Alligator mississippiensis: one gene and its partners. Each later gene encodes a partner of the first gene's protein in a complex. Links are inferred from orthologs where the notes say so. Each region holds a gene or a part of one and is shown on either strand. Other genes may lie near its edges. The genes, in order: STK3, SAV1 and RASSF5.

What was found.
Region 2: the proteins of STK3 (region 1) and SAV1 are in contact, whole or in part, in a crystal structure (PDB 6AO5), measured with the Homo sapiens proteins. The link is inferred for Alligator mississippiensis from reciprocal best matches to the Homo sapiens genes STK3 and SAV1. Residues at the interface, in NP_006272.2 of Homo sapiens: Trp429, Lys430, Val431, Pro432, Gln433, Gly435, Phe437, Phe439, Leu440, Lys441, Asn442, Leu443, Ser444, Leu445, Leu448, Gln449, Arg451, Leu452, Leu455, Asp456, Met458, Met459, Glu462, Ile463, Leu466, Arg467, Arg469, Tyr470, Ala472, Lys473; in NP_068590.1 of Homo sapiens: Tyr311, Ala312, Arg313, Ala314, Pro315, Asp319, Trp324, Glu325, Phe327, Gln328, Leu329, Leu332, Asp333, Gln336, Leu339, Lys340, Leu342, Phe343, Glu346, Leu347, Ile350, Val351, Met353, Tyr354, Ala356, Tyr357, Arg358, Ala360, Leu361, Leu362.
Region 3: the proteins of STK3 (region 1) and RASSF5 are in contact, whole or in part, in a crystal structure (PDB 4LGD), measured with the Homo sapiens proteins. The link is inferred for Alligator mississippiensis from reciprocal best matches to the Homo sapiens genes STK3 and RASSF5. Residues at the interface, in NP_006272.2 of Homo sapiens: Phe437, Phe439, Leu440, Leu445, Leu448, Gln449, Arg451, Leu452, Leu455, Asp456, Met458, Met459, Glu462, Ile463, Leu466, Arg467, Tyr470, Lys473, Arg474, Pro476, Ile477, Leu478, Ala480, Met481, Lys484, Gln488; in NP_872604.1 of Homo sapiens: Trp369, Asp370, Ala371, Phe372, Ile374, Leu377, Gln378, Phe380, Leu381, Leu384, Glu385, Glu387, Glu388, Lys391, Ile392, Val395, Gln396, Lys398, Tyr399, Phe402, Arg403, Lys405, Leu406, Ala409, Leu410, Ser413.

The regions. Positions count from the first base shown.
Region 1 is NC_081826.1:40,043,950-40,051,314, reverse strand, and holds the start of STK3 (serine/threonine-protein kinase 3), read right to left. Parts: upstream 3,002-7,365; 5' UTR 2,856-3,001; coding exon 2,833-2,855; intron 1-2,832. UniProt on the Homo sapiens protein: Stress-activated, pro-apoptotic kinase which, following caspase-cleavage, enters the nucleus and induces chromatin condensation followed by internucleosomal DNA fragmentation.
Region 2 is NC_081825.1:298,447,676-298,455,713, reverse strand, and holds the start of SAV1 (protein salvador homolog 1), read left to right. Parts: upstream 1-5,024; 5' UTR 5,025-5,055; coding exon 5,056-5,149; intron 5,150-5,427; exon of another isoform or gene 5,428-5,528; intron 5,529-7,602; coding exon 7,603-8,038. UniProt on the Homo sapiens protein: Regulator of STK3/MST2 and STK4/MST1 in the Hippo signaling pathway which plays a pivotal role in organ size control and tumor suppression by restricting proliferation and promoting apoptosis.
Region 3 is NC_081837.1:41,643,681-41,651,212, forward strand, and holds the start of RASSF5 (ras association domain-containing protein 5), read left to right. Parts: upstream 1-4,521; 5' UTR 4,522-4,536; coding exon 4,537-4,909; intron 4,910-7,532. UniProt on the Homo sapiens protein: Potential tumor suppressor. Seems to be involved in lymphocyte adhesion by linking RAP1A activation upon T-cell receptor or chemokine stimulation to integrin activation.

The DNA of each region.
Region 1 (7,365 bases):
CCCACTTCAGTGCAACATAGCCTGCAGGCCCATGGGTGTGTACCACTATAGTTCCCCAAACACCTAAATGTTTGCTGCTGCAAAACCCAGAACTGTCTCTGTCTTGACAGTGATGGACAAGCTAGGTTCCTAAGCTCTTTAGAGATCTACAAACTAAACATTCTTCTATGCCCCCTATTGGGTCTGAAGTGAAAAGCATTGTCAGCAAACACCTACTGGATTGGATCCCACACAAACAAGGGAAGAGAAAGAGGTGCTGGTGGTGATTTCATTTTATCCAATATATCCATGACTACAGTCTTCACCCAGAGTATGGGGGGGGGGGAAGGAAGGAAAAAAAAAAAAAAAAAAAAACAACAAACACACTCTCCTGCTCGAAGGGATTTGAACCTCATCTCTCAACTCCCATGCTTCAGCTAAAAGGCTATAGGTGAAGCATGTTCTCCTTCCTGTTGAAGGAATTGAACTTGCCATAAGGTAACTTAAATTATCATTGTGCTGCAACATCAAGAAAGCAAAACTCTCTCACCTAGTGATTAGGCCACTTGCCCGCATGGGCAAAGGGAACATATGGGTTCAATAAATACAGCAATATATCCATGGGGATTCTCACACTTAAAAACCTATCCTGGCTTTAGGTGTCCATGCCAGTCTTTTCTCCAAGAAGACAGCCAGAAGAAGAGTCATACCATTTTCATACTAGCTCAGATACTCATCCTGGACAAGGGAATCCTGGGTTTTATCTGTGCCAGTGTCAACCCATTCTTTCATCAGCATTCCCTATAAATTATTTTAAACCAGCACACTAAGCAGAGCTACCTGTGAATCACATTATTGAGTGCCTAAATATTTCCATGCAGTGTATACAGAAACTAATGCATGACTATAGCTGTTATTGTACTAGGTAGAACCCAAAAACAAGGCACGCTAAGCTCCAGGTGAGCCCTTACACCAAAACTGTAGGAGGCGATCAGCTTGGGGTGTTTATCATTTGGCATCCAGCTTGAGACAGCTAACGTTTAATTCAGAGATACTGTCCATCCTGCAACTCTCACTGGAATGACCCAGCTCTGGTCGGAGGTAGGCACGTGAGCCAGCACTAGGACCCACTGCCACTTTTCTCCTTGGTAGCTTTCTTGTGGCCACCACTTTCTCTCCATGGTGGCATGATGAGAGCAATCACTGCCAAAGCCCCCCACCACAGAACACCACCAATGCCCCACATCCTTAGGCCAGGTCCAACCATAAATTTAAGCCAGGACTCAGCAGCCATCACCACTTCCAAGGAGAAAGTGGGGGGAGGCAAGGCCAGTATTACCAACTCAAAATTTGATTGAGAGCCTCATGACATGAAGCCTGGCCCACAAACAGTTTTTGTACTTCTATAGCTATTTTTATAGAAAATTAAGAGTCAGTTATAGAACTGCTCTACCCCAATATAGCTTATTCCCTCTTCCGAAACAGCAATATGTTATGCAGATGATATAAGCGTGTTTATAGCTATATCTGTATCAAGGCAGGATTGTGCCACTTTACACCAATACAGCCAAAGCAATACTACTACGCGTTTAGAGAAGACCTTGGCATTATATTTACACCAGCCACTCTTGAATTCATATTATTACATGAAGATTCATTACAAAGTTTCTTGTGTTCATAGTTAGAGACATGCTTGAAGACACAAACTGTAAAGGCTCAAAATGACACAGGCAAAGAAAAAAAAATTAAACAAAAAGGTGAAGTGTGCTTATTGAAAGCCATTCTTGATTTTACCTCCCTGACTCACATAGGGCTGGAAGGGACCTCCAGAGGCTGTCTAGGCCTGTGCTTGTCAACCTTTCCTGTACCAGGACCCACTTGTAAACATGGATAGCCAGTCCCAACACAGTGCCCCCTGCCCACCAGTGTGTGGGGCAGGGGGTGGGTGTATGGGGCAGGGAGTGGATGTGGGGCATGGAAGGCCTCAAGCAGCCCTTTGCAGGCTCTGACAGCCTGCAAGGGAAAAGCCATGTTTTTCCCACATTTTTCTCCTTTAAAAAGGAGAATCCATGTTTTAAGTGTGTTGATTCATCTTTAAAAGTTTGTTCCAACCTTTTTGTATTTTCTTGCGAGCCACTTTTGGGTCACAACCCACCAGTTGCTGATCTAGTCCAACCCCCTGCCCGAGGTAGGATCATCTGTATCCAAACCTTCTCACACAACCATAATCTACAGTCACAAGACTACCCTCAACCCTGACAACACAGACCTAACACCCCAACCTGCCACAGGTGAAGCAGGGCAGCCAGGGGCCTGCTTCCCTAAAATATTGACAACGAACACCAAGAGGGCACGCCACAGCCCCCACTACAGGGGCCCTCGCTCTCACCAGCCTGACCCTGGGTGAAACTGACCCCACGTCTGGCGATGCGTCTGCCCCGGAGCAGAGGGGCAAGCCCCCGCAGCCAGGAGCCGCAGGTCCCAGCAGGAGCGCTGGCACAGCCCAGAGTCCCCGGCCTGGGGAAAGCTTAACGCCCCTCTCAGCAGAGGGAAGCGGGGAGCAACCCGCCGAGCCCGGCACTCCCTTAGCGGGACACGGGCCCGCCCGGGCGCCGCTGCAGGGCTGCCCGGCTTGGCCTTGCCCGGCCAACAGGAGGCTTTGCAGGAGTTTAAAACCCCTCAGCCTCAAGGCCGGGCCGGGCCGGCCCGGCCCAGGGGAGCTGCTGCCGCCGCACCCGCCGCCGGCTCAGCTCTGGCTGGGCTGCCCCCGGCCCGGCCCGGCCCGCGGCCTAGCCCCAACCGCCGCCGCCGCCGCCCCGTCCCCTCCCCTCGGGGCCCCGACCAGGCCCTCACCTCTTGGGCGCTGCCGGCTCCATGGTGCAAGCGGCCTGGGGTGTAGCCACACCCGCCCCGCCAACTCCGCACAACTTCGCGGCGGCGCTGGCCCTTTAAGTGGGACTCGCGCCTCCCCCGCGGGCGCCGCTCTCAGACAAACGCGGCTGGCGCCAGCCCGACTGCTGGTCGCTGAAAGCCCGCCCCACCCGCTCCCTCCTCTCATTGGCCCCGAGGGGACAGGGCGGAAGAAGTGGATTGGGTCCCACCGGCGTCAATTGTTTGACTTTAAGGACCCAGGAGGCGGAAGCGAGAACAAACGCCTTCCCCCAGGAGCAGGCGAATGCGGGGCTCGGGGCGCAGCCAACGCGTTCCCAGCGTGCCCCGCTCCGCCTGGGCCGCCGCGGGGCACGCTGGGACATGGAGTCCCCACAGGAAGTCGCTTCCTGCATGGGTTCTCGCCTCTGGCCCGGCTCGCGTCGCCTGCACGTGACGGGCACGACCTCGCCATCCCCGAGCTCGGGCGGGGCGGCTCCAGCGTGCATTGCCTGGGCGCAGCCGTTCAGCACCGAGGCAAAGGGCTCCTGGCGCGGCCCTGTCTGCCGAGGGGGCTTCCAGGCCCGGCTCCCGCTGCCCCGGCCAGTCACCGCTGCTGCATGCGGGCAGGAAGCACAGGTGTGTGGCTTGCGTGTCAGGACACCTGCACGTCTGGTGGTCTGGGCCCTTTCTCCACCACCGCTTTGTGCCGTTTCCAGGTTCCCGGAGGAGCCGTAGGTAGGGGTGCACCCATGGAGATTTTTTGGGTGCCATATCGACCCACGTCAGTCTGATTCGAACGTGCAGGCCGGCAGCTTGGAGAGCGCCGGCTGCCTGGTACGGCTGTTGGGGGGCGGGGGCAGGTCAAGGCCCCTGCGGTGCGGGGGGAGTGGGGCAGGGTAGGCACTGCACAGCCGGCGTGGTGCGGGGCACAGGATGGAGCCACGAGCAGCTTATCCAGGGTAGAGAAGGGTGGCTCCCGGTGCTGTGCGCACCCCAGGATGGCATGGTGGGGTGCCCCCAGATCTGCACAGGGGAGGGCGGGCTGTAGCCAGGGCAGTGCCAGGCTCTTCCTGGCAGGGGCTGGGCCGGGCTGCGCTTGGGGCGGGCAGCAGTGGCGCTAAGGGGAGCTACAGGGAGACCTGCAGCCACCCCAGAATTCGCCATAGCCCCTGCTCCTAGCGCAGCCTGGCCCCTTACTGGGAAGAGCCCAGTACTGCCCCAGCCTGCAGCATCAACCCACCCCTTGCCCCACATGCAGATCCAGGGGCACACAGATGGTGTGTGCCTCCTGGGGTGCATGCAGGGGCAGGAGCATCCTCCCCAGGCCAGCTGCTCAGGGCTTCATCCCGCACCCTGCCCCAACTGGGCAGTGTCTGTTCCTGCCCCAGCTCCACTCCCTCACTGGGGGACCTCAATGTGCCCTTCCCCCACAACAAGCTTACCAACCAATGCTGCTTTCCAAGCTGCCGGGCTGTGCTCCTGCTCATGTGCATGCTGCAACTGTGCATATGCACGTGGCATTTAAAATCTGCCACATCAGGCAAAAAAGGCCAATTCCCATTACTTGCAATTTTCCCTATCTCAGTGCCAATCTGACCTGGGACTGATGTATCGGTGCACCTCTAGCCTTAGGTGCTCTATACTCTGTCTTGAGACAGATTGGCCCGCTAGAGCAATCCAAAAAATTAAAGCAAGCACAGGTGTCCACTTCACCTTCCACATACCTTCCCCAAGGGAAGGTTGAATTAGGAAAAAAGTATGCATGGGAATCGGTGCCGCATTCAGGCGAATCTGCACTCGGCTTGTTACAGTGTTTGAACCTGATTGGAAACTTTCAGGGTAAATGATATTGTTGGATTCAGAACCTGGACTAGATTAAACCTTGCTGGCACTAATAATGAAATCTCACAACACCCCTAGGATGCAAGTAAATGGTATTTTTTCCATTAAACTAAATAAGACTAACAAAAGATAAGTGGAAGAGATAACAAAAGCTCTAAGGTCTCATGAGTCACTGGCAAAATCAGAAGTCGGCAGGAGATGATTCACATTCCTGTAAGACACATTCCCTTTCTAAATTATGCAATATAAAAATAGACCAGTTGGACTGGAGCTTTCACTGCACAAAGGGGCTTCACACTGAAGTTTGAAATAATGATTAGTGTAAAACACCTTGGTGTATCACAAACAAAGTTTCCCTCTACATCCCACCCTTACTGACCTTCACTTATTTCATTACAACTCCTAATCATTGGGTGGTCCTGAGCAAACTGTTAAACAAGTTTCTGCAGAAGTCCAGTCAAGTCAGATATCTTTACCATTTCAAAGCTGTAGCTTATGTTGTTGCTGCCTTGCTTCTAATATAGGCTATTTCAAGAAAAAAAATTATACACACGCACCCCCATATAGTAAACAAAACAGTGCCAGCCAATTTAGATAGAAATGCAATTTTCCCAGTATTTGGAGTATATTAGTGTGGCTCAGTTCATATTGGAAAATGCTGACTTGTGCAAAGTGGGCTCTTGAAGGATGCTATGAAAGCCTAATCATATTCTGTTGTACCATCGTAGTATTTAATATAAAAGCCTTTGTCTGTCTGCCCATAATGCTTTATTCGCACTGATTGGCTGACTGAAACAACCAATAAGAGTGCAAATACAGCATTGGGACAGGAGGTGATGACACAGCAGAGCACTGCCCTAATGGCAGGGACACAGGGGATGGAGTGGGGGCGAGGCCAGCACAACCAGTCTTGCCCCTCCTGCCCTGCTGCCTGCAAGCAGCAGCAGCAATGGAGTGGACAGAATGGGGGGGGGTGAGGCCAGAAGCACTGGCCTTGCCCCCCCTGCCCTGCTCCCTGCAGGCAGTGACTATGGAGTGTAGAGGGGGCAAGGCCACCAAAGCTGGCCTTGCCTCCCCCCCTTTCTCCTTGGAAGTGGCAATGGGGTGGGGGGGAGCAGGGTCAGGAGGCTGCAGGGGGGCAGGGGTGAGGCCACCAGCGCTGGCCTCAGCCCACACCTCCCCACTTTCATTGTCACCGCCTGCAGGACCAATGTATCAGCAGTGTGGGGAGGGAAGGAGCGGGCCCAGGCCTGACACAGGAGGGTCTACCATGGCGGGTTGAGAAAGGGGAAGTGGGCCCAGGGGTAGGCACATATGGGGCTCCGTTCCTGCCCACTTCCCTCCCCCCCATCCCTCATCATTCTTGACGGGCAGTTGGCTAGTTAAATATATTTATCCCACCATATGCAGAGCAGGGTATGTTTACTTCTTTCCCCACATGCCTACAAAATGGCAAACCTGTCACACCCATTGCTACATCAATATACTGTACCAGCAACAGGCTTTAAACAGGGACACAGCTACACTGACAGCTAGAATTTTTTTACTTGTATAGCAAAACCACCCCTTAGAGAAAAAAAAGTGATATACATGGTAGCAGTCTTGCCAGTATAATTAACTGTGTGTACATGAAAAGGTTCTGCCAGCAGAGTAATGCTGGTCAGGGGCCACACTGCAGACTGACATAGCTGTGCTGACAGAAGCCTGTACTGCAGACCTGGCCTGGGTCCTAGACACCAACCGTTCAAACTGCCTAGTGCTCTCACATCACATAATTGACAAAAGAATTGCTGCTTCTATTAGAAGTCCCACAGCTGCTAAATCAAGATCACTATGGTGTATATTTCTCTCCTTATATTAACATAAGATTGGGGGTGTCCTTATATTCCACTCAAAGTTGTGATGGCAGTTTGTACAGATGTACTCAAACTAGTTCACATGGGTGGTGACAACTGGGAAGCCAAAGAACAAACTGCCTGAGTATCTCCTTATAGCTTGTGTTGCATTCTGGAGCTGCCAGTTCTGTCATCATTAGTAAAGTTTAAACCTAGCTCAGGCACATCTACACAAACTACCACTAAGCTTTTTGAGTGTGGAAGAAACAGCTTTATAGCTCTTACTGCTTTCTATGACCTGGGACAGGAAAACATATATCTCTCCTACCTCAAGATAGCTCTTGGCTACTAATAAGCCCCTGCCTCAAACTACATTTCCTGCCCCTGGCCAAACAGAATTTTCAAAACCACATGGTTTTGAATTTAGGTGCCCAACTTACTTTGAAAGTTAGCCCAAACAGCATTATCTCTTACATCCTGTAAATCACATGCTTGACTACAGCACTTCATTTGCAAGCACGTACAAGTGCCAAATGGTAACCTGGGAAGCAAACATGAACTGCAAGGCACAGTTCCTTGTAACAGTAACTACGCAGAATTAAACACACTAAATAAGTTTGTGTACATTTGATGGTCTCATACCATTAATGAATAAATTACCTTTGTTCTGCCTTAGTCATGTCATTTACCAGATTGCAGCTAATACTAGAACAGACAGTTGTCTAAAAGAAAAGTGGAAAAAACTATATTAAAGCCACACTAAAATATGCACGTTTAAAACCACAAGAGGAAGAAATGCAAAAATAATTGTCATACAAACTTTCAGTACTGCTGCACA
Region 2 (8,038 bases), on another chromosome or scaffold:
AGGTTCTAAGAGTTTGAATTCACATCTACTCAGCAAAGTGGAGGTGGAGTCAGAAGAAGTCATCAGGACTAGGGACAGAAGTTGCACATAGTGGTTTAAGTGATCAGAAACTGTTCTAAGCCTTTAACAGAACAGAAGTGCACATAAACCACTTTCAAAATGGCTAAAACTGGGTTAAGATAAACCTGGTTGAACGTAATAAATATCGGACTTAACTAATTTAGGTCAAGCTGGTTTATGAAACTTCTGTCCCAGACCCCTTCCTGGTTCAAGTTAAATCACAGTCCCCTGACATCCCAACATGCTTTGCAGCCCTGAGCTGGGCTGTGCTGTGCTGTCAGTTGCTGTTGGCCCTGCCCCTCTGCTCCCCAGCCAGAGCAGTGAGGGCTGGCCAACAAGGGGGTGAGGGTGGGAAGCCCAGCTGGCGACTGCAGCTGGGTCTGCCTGGGGAAGGGGGCAGCCCCATCAGACTTTTTCCTGCTGGAGTAGGGGGGGTGGGGGCATGGGGAGGCAACAGCCTGAGAGGGACTGCCCCAGCTGGGGTCTCAGAGGGGCTTTAATCCCCACTTCCTCAGCTCAGTATGCTCCCCGTGCCCCCTGATCTCTGCTGGTGCAGGTGGGCAACAGCCTGAGAGGGACTGCCCCCCAGGCAAACCCATATGAGGTCTAGGGGGGCTGGAGGGACTAGTCCCCTGCCACCTGTGAACATAAGGCCAAGCCCCGCCAACCAGACTGAGAGGTGGGAAGTGTTGGCAAAGTAAAACAATAGTCACATGTGTGCTGGAGATGGAGCTAAGGGAACAGGAGAGGGACTGCTTGGGCTGGTGTGACCAAAAAAAGCAGAGAGCTACATTTACATTATAAAACAGAACCAGTAAAAGGTGGGAGACAGGAATACCTAAGCAGAGACAAAAGACACTGAATGCGTGAGAGTCCTGACCTGCCAAAGGTGCTATAGGTGACAACAAGCACACTAGTGTCAAGGCACCCAAAGGGGTGAAAGTGTGCCTGTAGAAACCCAAGTAGAGATGAGGCCTGTGAGATCTCTGCTCCGACACCTAAGACCACCTGCCGATTCCCCAAGAAGGACTTTTTGAATACCTGGCTGTAAGGAGACACTTGGGATTACGTAAGATTTATGCAAGGCTTTCTCTTGCCTTCTTGGTTTACATTATAAGGTAGACTAAGTTGTGTGTGCTCACCCTGTGTTTTCCTGGGCTGCATTTTAGCATAGGCAAAGATTTTGGGTGGTTGCTTCTTGTGTGCTTGAAGTTGCAAATTGCTGCGTTCAATACGTGCTCAGTTCAGAGAGAAAACTATTCTTGTTCAAACTTTTATGAATTTAGTGCCACTACCTTTTCCCCCATCCACCTTCTCCTCAGCCTGGCAGCCTCGAGAGGGGGGCGGGAGAGGGCAGAAGCCTGGCAGGCGCTGCCTGCCCCCTTCCCAGGCAGACCAGGGTTGGGGTCTGATGTGGTCTAGGGAGAGTATTTAAACCCCCACCCTCCAGCATGCTAGCCCAGGGCTGGGACCTGGCCACGTCCCCTCCACTGGAGCAGGGAGGGGAGGAAACCTTGGCGCTTCAGTCCCTCCCCTTTGGCAGTGGCTGGCAGGCTGGGAGGCATGCTCTAGTGCCCCCGGCTTCTGGCCTGAGTCGCTGCAGGCATACGGCAGCATTTCCTGAATCAAAAGTGAATGTCTGTTCACTTGCTTCTTGGTTTAATCGACGCAGCTTAGACTCACCTGCAAAGACTGAATTGATTCAGCCTCCGGCTTTTTGACTGTCTGTACTTAGTCCAGAAGCAGCCTCAGTCTGGCACCCCTAGGAAGGAACATGTCCTGGGTTCTGGCCCCTGTTCTTGTCCACATTGCTGCTGGTGCATTTTGTGAAACCATATTTTGATTAAATGGGTAGATAGGATCAGAGGCAGAAAAGGATTTGGCTGCTTGGCATGACACAGGAGGTGAGGAGGGCACACTTGGCCTTGCTTTGCTGGGAGCCTGGTGGTTAGGGACCTACAAGAAAGCAGGAGATGTAGACTTCAGATTCCTTCAGATTGGGAAAGGGGTGGCTGGAGCATGGGTCTTTCATTCCCTGGAGAAAGTGCCCAATCAGCCTATGGTGCAAAAGTGGGGAGCAACATCACCACCACCACGTAGCCTCAGATCCCATTTCAACTTTAGGCATTTATCTGTGGAAGAACAGTGAACTTGCTGGATGCAGGAGAAAGGCTCCTGGATCTCAAAGAAGAGCTGTTATTTTCTTCTCATGGTGTCAGTTCATGTGACAGCCAGAGGTGACTTTCTTCCTACGGCCCTGCCAGGGGAACAAAGATACAACGTCCCTGGCTGGCTGTTCGTGCCACCCATCGTTATGGGAAAATCTCCTGTGTTGCTTTGCTTCTGCCTATAGGATGAGTGACACAATATCATCGGTGCTGTTGGAACCCAACCAAGCCCCCCGCTCCATTCGCTGCAGGCACTAGAAATGAAGTGTTGCAATTGTGGACATGGCTTCATTGGAAAATGTTTAGTAACACATCGTATCAATCATGAGTCTGATGGCAGTTTGTTTTGGCTGATAAGTTGTCCATTGGGAAGGATACTTTTTTGTGCCAGGTGGCATTTGTCCAGGCTGTCCAACTGCCAGCTGCTGCTTAGTATTTGAGGTGCACATCTGGAGAGCTGATTTCAATTCAGCTTGCAGATGTAACCTAAGCCTGCAGTGTCCAGGATTGATGCTAGTGTCTCCTGCTTGTGTTTGCTGTTGACTAGTATTTACATCCAGTATTTACCTACTAGGGGACTGATCTATAAAAAATGTGCAGCTGCGGAAGGACAGCAGGGTCACTGGAGAGAGAATTCGGTGAAGGAGTTTATTGTAAATCAGACCGTTTCAGTCTAGCTATATTTTCTGGAGAACATGGCCAGCAGCATGACAGAGACAACTGATTCAAGCTGAATATGAGTCAACAAGTGGGATATGAGCCAGTGGTGAGCCCTTGTTGCCAAGAAAGCTAGCGGCATCCTGGGCTGCGTTGGGAGGAGCATTGCCAGCAGATCAAGGGCGGTGATTCTTTCCCTCTATTCAGCACTGGGGAGGCCACATCTGGAGTCCTGGGTCCAGCTGTGGGCCCCCACTACAGAAAGGATATGGACAAATCGGGGAGAGGCAATGGAAATGGTTCAGGGGCTGGGGGACATGACTTGCGAGGAAAGACTGAGGGAACTGGTCTGATTTAGTCTAGAGAAGAGGAGACTTGGAGGGGATTTAACAGCAGCCTTCAAATCCCTGAAGGGTGGTTCAAGAGGATGGAGCTGGGCTGTTCCCAGTGGGAGCAGATACAGAACAAGGAGGAATGGGCTCAAGTTGCAGCAAGGGACATTGAGGTCAGATATTAGGAAGATTTTCCCACCAGGAGGGTAGTAAAACACCAGAACAGGTTACCCAGAGGGGTGGTGGGAGCTCTCTTCTTGGAGGTTTTCAAAACCCAGCTGGACAAAGCCCTGGCTGGGATGATCTAGTTGGGGCTGGTCCTGCTTGGAGCAGGGGTTGGATTAGACGTGCGGACCTCCTGAGGTCCCTTCAACCCTTGTTTTCTGTGATTCTGTTAGTCTATAAGAGGCATCTCTGTCCTGCCTTCTACCTGCAACAGACTGTGGTGGCACCACTGAACAGGGATCTTCAAATAAATAATCATAATCATAATAATAGTGTTCTTCATTGCAGAAGCATCAGTTAGTCAAAGTAAGCATTTTTGTTGGGGTGCACATACAGGGATTGGACACAAATGCAATTTCTGCTCAAAATGAGTGAGAGTGCTCAGTCATTTCTGCACAATTGCTGGCAGTCGGGCCTGGCAGCTGATGGAGACTTGGGCACAGCAGGGCCTGAACCTTTGCCCTGCTGGGTATTTTGGAGGGGAGAGCAGGGTCTCTTTGCTTTCTCCGCACTAAAAGGTCTCAGGGGGGAGTCCAGGATGAAATGGCACGTGTTGGTTTAAATGCTGGCCCACTGCAAGCCTGGGGAACCACTGCCTGCCTGGCTCCGTGGGCCGAGCCTCCCCTCTCTCCTGCCAGCCTGGAGATATTCCAGGGGTGGAACAATAGCCCTCAGGGGAAGGATGTGTGTCCGGTGATGGAGCAACAGCCCCCTGTGCATGTGTGTGTGTGTCTACGGGTGCAACAACAGCCCTCGTAGATGTGTGTGTCTGTGGGGGGGGTGTCTAGGGGTGCAACCACAGTCCTCATGGGTGTGTGGGGGGGTGTCTAGGGGTGCAACCACAGCCTTCATGGGGGTGGGGGGTGTCTAGGGGTGCAACCACAGCCTTCATGGGTGTGTGTGGGGGTGTCTAGGGGTGCAACCACAGCCCTCATGGGGGTGGGGGGGTGGGGGGGAGTGTCTAGGGGTGCAACCACAGCCCGCCTGGGGGGGGTGGATGTGTGTGTGGGGGAAGGGGCTGTCTAGGGGTGCAACCACAGCCCTCATGGGTGTGTGTAGATGTGTGTGTGTGTATGGGAGTGTCTAGGGGTGCAACCACTGCCCTCATGGGTGTGTGGATGTGTATGGGAGTGTCTAGGGGTGCAACCACAGCACTCATGGGTGGGTGGGTGTGTATGGGAGTGTCTAGGGGTGCAACCACAGCCCTCGTGGGTGGGGGGGGCGGCGCTGGGCTCCCTCAGCAAGTGCCCCTCCCCCACTCTCCTCCAACCGCCACCGAACCCACCACCCGCAACGTTCTACCCCGACCGTTAGCTGGGAGCGAAGGGGAGGGGAGCGGCGGGGAGCAGGGGAAAGACGGGCTCCCATTGGCTGCGGGGGGACGGGAGACCCTCCGTGCCGCAGGGCGGCGCTGTGGCGCAGGGCGGCGGCCGGCCCGGCTTCCTGTATCCCATCAGCCCCTGCGCGGCGGCGGCGCCCCTGAGGGGCGAGTGCGGGGGGCGGCGACGGCGGCTCCGCACATGGCGCAGCGGCGGGGCCGGGAGCGGGGGTGCCCCGGGGCGGGTGCGGGTGCGGGTGCGGGTGCGGGCGCGGCGCGCTGAGGGGGAGGGGGGATGCTGTCGCGGAAGAAGACGCGCGCGGAGCTGTCGAAGCCGGGCGAGGTGCAGGGCAAGTACGTGAAGAAGGAGACCAGCCCGCTGCTCCGCAGTGAGTGTCGCCGTCCCGCCCGCCCGCCCGCGGGGCTCCCCGGTGCCCCGAGACCCTCTCAAGGGCTGCCCCGAAATGCCCCCCCCCCCGGGCTCCACCCCGGGCAGGATAAAAGGTCTCGGCAGAGAAGTAGAGAAACACGTGTTTAAATGGACCGTGTTCCCTTAATAGTTTTCTCTGATGCTGGGAATCGTTCATCTATCTCTGTCCTGGGGTCGGCACTTGTTTTTCAGACTTAGACTGTCTTCACTGCCCAAAAAGAGCATTTTTCACCCTAGGGTAACTATCACTTGAGCCTGATCTCCCGGTGCAATCCAGCAGAAGCAAAGTCCCTGTCACTCTTACGGGAGACGGGTAATATTCGCTGCCCCTGCGCCAGGTGCGTCGCTATTTACCTCACAGTAAACGGTCGACCGCGTCTTATTGTCCCAAGGATCATCTCGAGGGATGAGCGTGTCCATCCATAGCTTTCGTCATTGAACGTCCTGGCGAGAAAGGAAAATGCGTTGTAAACCTGTCAGCCCTTAGGCTGTTTTGTTGAGAAGTAACGATAGCTGATTGTACGCTCTCACGTGTAATAACTTTTGCGTAGGTTTATGCGTGTTGTCTACTAACGCGCCATTCAAAACAAATGTAAAAGTTGCAGAACAAATTGGCCTCATTACCACGTGGGGTGGGTGGTTTCCAGAAGGCATAGTAACTTTTTTTTTGTTTAATTTGTGTCTGGTTGTAGTATCAGGTGGATGGTGTGATATAATACCAAGATAATATATCACTTGATGGAGACAACATTATATAGATAACACTAGCAGAGTAGCAGTTATTGTTCACATCCTATATTTGCTTCCTTAAGGCAGAAAAGTCAAGTGCAGAGGCAGTCAGGTCATATTAAAGTTGAGATTTTACACGCGCACAATGACAGCGTTTGGATGGGCTGTATCGTGGTGATAGTGCAGGTTCCAGTCCTGACTTTACCACAGATTTCTGTGAGACTGTGGGCAAATCACTTACATCGCTAGTGAGAATACGTGAACGCACATATCCTGGTACGGCACTGAACAGGGAGTGGGAAAGTTGGGTTATGTTCCTAGTTCTGCCGTTGAGGCGAAGTGGAAAAAGTTGATTCCTACCCAACATAGCTGTGCCATCAAAAGACCTTTCTAAAGATGCATTTAAATAGGCCAAAAAGGTGCATTTATCCTTTTGTTTTGAGGGTTTTATTGTATTGGAACACGCCAGTATAGCTACATATACAAACATGAACTAGGAGTGCTTTGCCAGTGTACTGTAATGCAAAGGGCAAGGTTTTTTTGGGGTGATCTCTCTTCTTGGATCGACTGCAGGGTTGGGATGAAGTTAGAGAGGCTTGGGAATGCAAGACATCCTTCATCAGGTCACTTCATCAGCATGCAGTAATGGCATTCTGGATTGAGGTTCACGAGGCCCTGGTAGTGAAGAGATGACCTGACTTGCTAAATGACTTTGTGGTGTTGGTTTCTTAAACTTTCCATGCCTCTTTGGTCTGTCTCAGGTATTTAGAGTCTAAGCTTTTTGGGGCAGGTGCTTTTTCCTAACAAATGTATAAATGCGCACAGTACCAAGCACAGTAGAACTGTGGTCTTGGTTAAGTACACCTAATTTCTGAAATTTGAATTTGCTATGCACAGAACAAAAACAGAGTAAAAACCTCTTGTCTAAAGAGTTCACAAACTGATCTTTCTTCAACTTGATAACTTATCCCCATAGTACGCATGAATTTTCTATGGTGGTCATGTCCAGATGAGCACGGATGTTTGGTTCCCCAGCAACATGAAGCAGCGGGCACACCTTGTGCCATTGCTGCTTGTCCCCAGGGACCACTCATGTCATGCGCCCTCTAGGCATGCCAGCTGTGCAGCCGCCATGATCCTGGAGCTGGAGCATGGCTCTAATGGGCCAGGCTCTAGTTTTGAGTGGCACATGCTGCAGCCATGTTCACTGCTTTGGTTTTTTTCCTGTGCAGGTTTTTTTGACCCCAGGATCTCCCTCACGCTGCAAGGTAGCAGCACAGGAAATACCCGAACGTGCGGTGTGTGGCACTGCAGATGGGTCTGCAGTGTCATATACCACACGGCTTCTCTTGTCTGGGTGTGGCATATGTGGCTTAATACCATTTACTTTGAGTTTCTTTCATGGAATAGATGTTCCTAGTTTTTTGAGAGAGAAATATGGGGTAATATTAATTTCTTTGATATGTGCTTTAAGAATAATTATTTAATATGGTATCCATTTGCACAATACAAGCAAGCTTATCTTCCTCTCCAAACTGTAGCTTTTGAATTTCCTGATTTTTAGAATAAAGTTTTTAGCTTTAAGTTCAACCCAGTTAAGTGTTTATATTCCATGTAATTAGGTTGTATTTTATAGCTAGAATCAAGTTTTTTGCTTACAATGTATTGTTGGTTCTGTTACAGATCTGATGCCTTCATTTATTCGTCATGGTCCAACTATTCCAAGACGAACAGATATCTGCCTTCCTGACTCAAGTTCTTCTGCCTACTCTGCTGGTGGGGATGGAATACTTTCCAGAAACCAGAGTTTCCTTAGAACTCCAGTTCAGAGGCCACCTCATGAAATAATGAGACGAGAAAGCAACCGCCTATCTGCACCTTCCTATCTTGCAAGAAGTTTGGCTGACGTTCCTCGGGAATACGGTTCTTCCTCCCAGTCATTTCTAACAGAAGCTAACTCCGTTTCAGAAAATGGAGATACAGGGGCCCGCTACTACTATGATCATTTTTTTGATGGACAAAGGAGGCGTCAACTAAATGATCGTGTACATGAGGACTATAGATATTATGAACACAACAATGATCTTTTCCAAAGGATGTCACAAAACCATGGGAGACA
Region 3 (7,532 bases), on another chromosome or scaffold:
TTGCTACTGATGTGATGAGACTAGAATTGTGCAGGTCAGAGTGGCACTGAATATCTCATTTAATTTATACCTCTTGCTGTTAACAGATTATGGCACTATGGGCTTTTAACATGGATCCAGCATTTAACTGCAGTCTCGCCAGTTCATGCCAAACTCCACAATGGGAGACAGAGATACGGAGAAATCAAACTTACTCTCCAGTGTAAGAGATGAAAGCAATCGTCTCTTTGCATGATTTTCCTCTGACTTAAACTAGGAGCATTTCTGCTGAAGTCAGTGAAGTTGCACCAGTTTTATGCTAGTGCACATATGAGAAAAGCTGATCCAGTGGTTGGGAGTGCTAGTCTGTGACCCAAATTCATCTCCCTGCTTTAGTACAGGTGTCGTATGTGACCTTGGGCCGGTCACTTAACTTTTCTGTGCCTCAGTTCCCAATCTACCCAGTGGAGTAATAGCAGTGCCCGGTGCACATGAAAGATTGTGAAGCGTTCGGGTACTGCGGTAATGGGGTCCAGCGCTATAGATAGTGTTACGGACAAAGAACTGCTCTGTGCATCAGGAATCCTAGTTTAGGGAAGGAAGAATCCTCTCTCGGTTGGATTCAGGAGTGGAAGTTGGCTGTTTTTCTGTTCCTACTCTTCATCTGATCTTGGCCGGATCACTACTACTTTGTGCCTTTCTCTCCTGATTTATAAACGAGCCTAGGCTTCTCGGGCATGCAGCAGCCTGACGCTCAAAGGCTTTATAGTTTCAGGTCTGCAAAGAATATAGAGCTGTGTTTTAAGACCGCTGTTGCCCTTTGTGCTGCCTTTTTATAATCTCTCCTCTCAGTGCAAAAGGCATATAAAAATGAGTTTTCCAAAGCAGAGATTGCAGGGACGTCTGAGCTGGCAGAATCCTTTTGCTACTCAGATTTTTGATTTCCCAAAAGGCTTGTTTGAGGTATGCATATCAGGTGGTTAGACCTGTACCTCCTTGAGGTGTTCCGCTTCCTTAGAAGGCAAGCCACGTTTGTGAGAAGAAAATATTCCAGGTTGCCCACTTCACGTGATCCCTCTGTGTAGCTCTACAGTGCTAGTATAATTGGAGTGGGAAAATTTAATTAGTTCCAGCTAGCTTTTGGGGCCTAGTCAACCCTCCGACTATGTAGCAGCAGAGCTATTTTGGTTGGGAGCGTGAATTTGTCCCTGTGTAGTTACACCAGTAGAACTCCAACTGCGGGGATATTGGTATAAAGGCGCTGTATAGCAATAAAATGTATTCCCCGTCCTCTATGGGAAATAAGGTTACAGTCATATAAATGCACTTCTACCTCTGTAACGGCATCCACACTATTGGAGCGGATCCATCTGAGCTATGGCAGCCTAGTTTAAAGCAAGTACAAGCCTTGTGCACAGACAAAGCGGGTGTGTTGAAGCAGAGAACGGGTTGCTGTCTTCTGAGGGTGCCAGGTACCGTGACTGCTGGTTTTCCAAGCAGAAAAGGCTAGAGAGCAGCTGGAGCAGTCTATTGGAATTTCCTATAGGAAACTTTTGCTCAGTTGTTTGCACCCAGTGTCCAGGTAAAATGCAGTAGGAACCCCTTTCTTAATGCCAAGCACTTCTCTGGTACCTCCGACTCAGAGGCTTGCCCTCTGCGCTGATTGCCTAATGCCTCCAGGCACCAGGAGATAGGAAGGTGGGGTTATTCCCCGTTGTGAAGGCTGAAATGCTCATGCCATCACCTGACTCCAGGCAATGGGGTAGAGGCGTTCAGAAGTGCTAGGTCTCCAAATAAGGGAGCAGGAATTGGTAATATTGCATTTATTGTATATGGAAATGGAGGCACCTAGGATCAGTTTGTCCCTACGCTTGAGGTCAGAGTTTATAACTGGGGAAAGTTTGTGCCTTCCAGCTAGACTCAGCCCGGTTAGAAACAAGACTTGGAGAAAACTGCAATGACCCCAAAGGCTCAGGAGTTGGAGCAGACAGGGCAGACGGTCCTCTCCGCGGTTCTTGTTCACCCACCTCTAACACTCATAGTTGTTTTAAAAAGAGCCGGGTGAGGCTTGGCCTTTCTTTTTGGCTTTGTGATTGTAAGTCTGCACCCAATAGAACGGCTGTGGGGATATTTTAAAATTCAAATGGAAGCTTTTAAAAAATAAAATAAACATAATCTGGCACTGTTGGCAAATACTAGCAAGTGCTAGCGCCTGGAAGACAGCAATGGGAAATGAGAGAGTTTGTTTTCACTTGCCTCCCACCATGTGCCACATGAAAGTAAAAGGCAGCAGTGAAACTTTCAGACGTTGGAGGCAGGCAGCTTTATAAGGGGTTTGGTAGTTTGGTTTTCCCTAGCCACTAAGTTTGCAAATGTGCAGTTCCCAATAAGTTCAGCGAGATGTGGTGATGCCCGTGACCTGTGGATCCCCAGCCCCTAAGTGCCGGGAATAAGAATTTAGACTCTCCAAAGTTTGAAGTGGTTGGGCAGCCGTGAAAATATCTTTGTTTTCACAGTCTCCAAATCTTACTTGCAAGAAAAGGAAGGAAAAGTGTTTAAGTGGGTCATTGCTTTCTATAGTATCGTGGAGCACGTGCCATGGAGCAGACCCCAGTCCTCTTGACAGTGGACACAGAGCTCAACGTCAGTCTGTACCTGGAGGAACTTGGCACAGGGGCGTAGACTCAGGGATGCTGAGAGAGGGCTGAGTGTGCGGGAACAAACCCTCCACCTGGCGTGCAGTGCTGAACCTGCAGCAATTGCTCTGTGACCAAACACACTTAAGATACAGAACCGCATAACTTACTTCCCAAGGAAGGGCAGGACTGACTGTTGTGATCAGTCTGACGCAGACACCCAAAGCTTCCTTTCAAACAGTCCTTTGGCCTCTGCCATGGCTTTGGGGAAAGTGGTTTGTTACTAAGCCAATTCCTATTACAGGCAGCCGGTCTTCACCAGCTTGGGTGGAACCGTTGAATATTTAGGCAGCAGGTTAAGATTTCCAAAGCGCCCCTAAGGCGAGATTCCCAAAGGCATTCGGGTGTGCTGGAAACCCCCCTACCTCCCTTTACACAGCTGGTGCCAAGCCGTATTTTCAGAAGGGACTAAGGCAGGGAGGATGCTGTGGTGCACTTGCACCCTTTTGATCCTGCTCTACCCAAAGTTTAAAACCAATTGCCTGGCAGAGGCAGCAGCATTTCTAGTCAAGCAGCAGTGAGGGAGCCAATGGACTTCATTCAGATTACCCGATGACGTCTCAACTTTGTTCCATGGGTGTTCACGACCTGCTCTCCTTTCTAAGGCTCTGGTTGTTGCACGAACGCAGCGAGCTTTTCTTCGGCAAGGCTGCGGTTTGTGAGCTGCTCCTGCCAGGGTAGCTCCTCTTTTGCAGCCTGCGGACCGGTCCTAACGCGTTCCCGTAGGAATTGCAGTTGTGTTGGGCCCGTAGTTATGCTACACTATGGTGTTGAAAAGCGGTATGGGAGAAAGAAGCCTCCTGGCCGCTGGATGACCTTGCAAGAAAGGAAAGAAATAAAACTCGCACTAGCGAGCAAAAAGACACGGAAGGGAGAATGAAAATACCAGCTGCAACTGCTGCAGTTACTAATGAGAGTGCAAGTGCGTGAACTTAGCCAGCAAAACTAAAATGAACATCTTGGAGAGAGAGAGAGAGAAGAGTAGGTATGAAACGGGGAAGGGACACGCACACGCAAGTATAAATGCAGGAAGGAGTTGGGAGACATGTCCGGCAAGGAGACGGAGGGGAGAGTCTCCTGTCAAGGGCAAGCTCCACCAAGTTGAACCGATTGCTAATTAGACCCACTGAGCGCTGTCCAAGGATAATAAACCCTTCTGAGCTTTCATGGTTGAACATGGATCCAAGCTGTGCTTTCTGCGTTGCCTTCAGGACCTGGAAGATGGCTCGCAACCAGCAGCCTGGACATCAAAAGCGACATCAACCCCTTCCTGCTGAGAAAAGAAAACCCTCCGCTCACGGCAGAACAACCCTCCGGTACACTTCTGTCCTGGCATCCGTCTGAAACCGAATCGCCCGGCCTAGCACCCAGCTTCTTCTGACCTCGAGAAAAATAGGGGCGGTGTTGGAGGGGACGATGCCCCTCAGCGTAGGCACCCCCTTCTCGCAATCCTGGGTTTGCCCGGGGATGGAGACACGGGGGAGACCTCCCTCCCCTTTCCTCGAGGAGTTGGGCTGGAAGCAATGAGGCAGGATCAGCCCCTACACTCGGCCCGAGCCCGCACTGAGCTGGCACCCGGAGCTGCCCCAGGGCCCGCGGCCTGTGTCTGTGCGCCCCTGAGCCGGGTCGGGGCAGGAGCCTCTGCGCCAACAGGTGCGGGGCGCCCGGCCGGTGCGGGGGCGGGCACGGCCAGCAGCGCAGCCTCTGGGGGGGGAAGGAGAGGAGGCCGAGCCGAGCCCTGCCCAGCCTTGGCTCTCCAGGGGCGGGCGCCCGGCGCGTCTCCTCCCCCGGCCGCGGCTCCGGCTCCAGCTCCAGCTCCTCCCGCTCGTGCGGTGCGGTGCGGTGCGGTGCGCGGTGCTGCATGGCGCTGGTGGGGCAGCTGCCCCGCGCGCTGCGCCTGGACGCGGAGCCCGAGGCGAGGAAGCGGCGCCGCGCCAAGCGCGAGCCCCCGCGCGCCCGCCGCCTGCCGCCGCCGCCGCTGCTGCCGGGGGACGGGGACGGGGACGGGGACGAGGAGGACGGCGATGCGGGGAAGCCCCCGGCCCTGCCCCAGCGCCTGCGCCGGGCCGCCCCGCGCCTGCTGCCCGACGTGCGCACCATCTTCCAGCAGCCGCGGGACCCGCGCGTCCCGCCCGAGCGCGGCCACGGACACCGCTTCCAGCCCGCCGCGCCCCGCCTCGCATGGTGCGACCTGTGCGGCGGCGCCGTGCGGCCCCCGGCCCTGCGCTGCGCCAGTGAGTGCCTCGCTCCCCACCTGCCCGCCTCCCTCCTCACCCTGCCTGCTCCCGCCCTCCCTGCCTCCCTGCCCAGCCGGGGTTGCGTGGGGAGCCCTGCCTGCACAGGGGCGGACTCCCCCTGACTGGGTTTCCTTTCTCCTCCTCGCCTGCCCTGTGCACGGGGCGGGGGGAGCCCCTGCCCTGTCCTGTCCCGCAGCTCTGCCTCATTGCGGGTTGGGTTTTTCCCCCCTGCGCTGCCTCAGACCGTCCCCGGCTGCGTGTCCCGGGAGCTGCCCCAGCCAGGAATAGACCCCCTCCGCCTAGACTGGGCTTCTTCTTTCCTCCTTGCCTGACCTCTCTCCCCAGCTGTGCACGGTGCGGGTGGGAGCCAGGGACTGACTAGAGGGGAAGCCTGCCCCTGTCCTGCCTCCTTGCTTGCAGGAGTTGTCCCAGCAAGGGGTAGATAGATGCCCTCTGCCTCACTGCGGTTTGGTTTTCCCTCAGTGCTGCCTCAGACCGTCCCCAGCTGCATGCCCCCGTCAGCCAGTGATTGACTGGAGGGGAAAGCTAACCCCTGCCAACAGGAGCTGCCCCAGCGAGGGCTAGATGCCCTCCGTCTGATTGACCTTTTGGTTTTCCCTCAGTGCTGCTCAGACCGTCCCCAGCTGCACGCCCCAGGAGCTGGGGACTGACTGGAGGGGAAGCTAGCCCCTGCCTGCAGGAGCTGCCCCAGCGAGGGCTAGATGCCCTCCGTCTGATTGACCTTTTGGTTTTCCCTCAGTGCTGCTCAGACCGTCCCCAGCTGCACGCCCCAGGAGCCGGGGACTGACTGGAGGGAAGGCGGCCCCTGGCTCGCGTCCCTGCCTGCAGGAGTTTCCCCAGCCAGGAGCAGACTACCTCCGCCTGTCTGGGATTTTTCCCCTGGCGGCTGACTCCGCCGTCCCCAGCTACACAGCGCGGTCCAGGAGCGCGCCTGGCTCCTCCCTGTGCCCCCGCCGTGTCCTCACCTGGCACTCGGGATGTTTTGCAGGTTTAGCTTCTGGAGCAGCCGCCAGGGTTTTTTTGCACCGACTAGGTGGATGCGGGATGTCATTTGAAGGGGTGTGGGGTGGGATCCAGCGTGGCAGTATCCGTTTAGTCGTGTGGCTGCGAAGGGCATTTGGAGAACAATTAGTCGGGTCCCTTCGCCGAGCCTGGCAGCAAAGATGCTCGTCACGCTCTGCGAATCTGTGGCAGCAATGAGCTTGCAGGGGTCGTTTTGGTCACTACCGTATTAAGGTACCATCTGGCGTTTTGGCTGGAGAAAAGAAAAATGGCGATTCTGGGAGGGCTGGTGACATGTCATAACAGTCGGTGTTGTGAAGCACGGCAAGCAGAAGTGAGGAACAAAGCCATGGGGGTCCTGGTGGGAATGAGCAGTAACTTTACCCACTATCTGTCAAAGACTTTATGGGAAATCTTCGTGCAGGAGGTCAGTGTTGTTATGCCCTTTATACAGGTGGGGAAACTGAGGCACGAGGCGATGAAGCAACATGCCCAAGGTCAGCAGACCGGTAGCAGAGCTGGGAACAGACTTCTTCTTCCTGGGTCCCAGTGTATTGTGCTCTTTACCAAGCCATCCCGATAGCTGCACTTGCTGGCCCCTAGAAGAGTAGTGCCCCTGCATGGTGCACGTGTTACTGCCAGCATATCCCTGTCATATCGGGAGGGGTTTTTTTTCTCTCCGTAGTCTCAAGGAAATCTTGGAAATGTTACACGTGGGGGGGATTTGATTGAACTTAACGATCGTGGTGGTACGCTAGAAGCGCAGATGGGAACATGCATGGCTGATTTTTGTAGGTATGAAAACTTAATGGTGGATAGAGTTGCATTTTCTTGTGAGCCGTGCTGCTGCCAAACTGCTCATTCTTTCCCTTTGTGTGCGGCTGATAAATAGACCTTGGTTTTCACTGGTGTTTTAACCTTCACCCTGCGTCTACTTGTTGAAGCAGCTGGAAATGACTGTTTCTGATTGCAACTTCCATGTGACTACTGTACTAATGGTTACAAGAGTAGAGAAGTCAGTAATTAAATTGTTCCTCCCCAAAGACAGGACTGATGACTTGAGCTGGACTGGATCTGTATTTTATTTCTCAACAGCTCCCCATTTGCACGGCGACTTCTCTCTGTCCCCTCTGTGTTCATGGTTAGCTGTTCACTTTCCGAGCCTGCCTTGTGCAGCATGTCGAACATCGTAAAGCGCATCTAATCCTGATGTGCTTGCATATAATTAAGGGCTTCTCATCGTAAAATGTGTCTGGCAGGGGACGCGTGCTTCAGAGGTTATGCCAACGCTGCAGCACAGTGTGTGCTCGGGCTCCACATGTGGATCTAGATTCGCTGTACACTCAATATTGATGAGGGGAAAGAGTTTCTGTTCTTTAAATTCACTCTGCAGGTTGCTCTGTGTGCTGAATTGCTTACGGATGCATTTCCCAGCTCTAACGAAAGAAGCAGAGATAAGGCACCTTTTTAGCTGAAGCAGCGAATGAAATGGGAACGTTTCTTCTGAGCTAAAACGTAGGTCCATTTTATTACCCATCTGCTGCAGTTTGGAAAAGGAGGTTTCATGGGAGTCTAATCAGGTTGTTTTTTTTTCCTC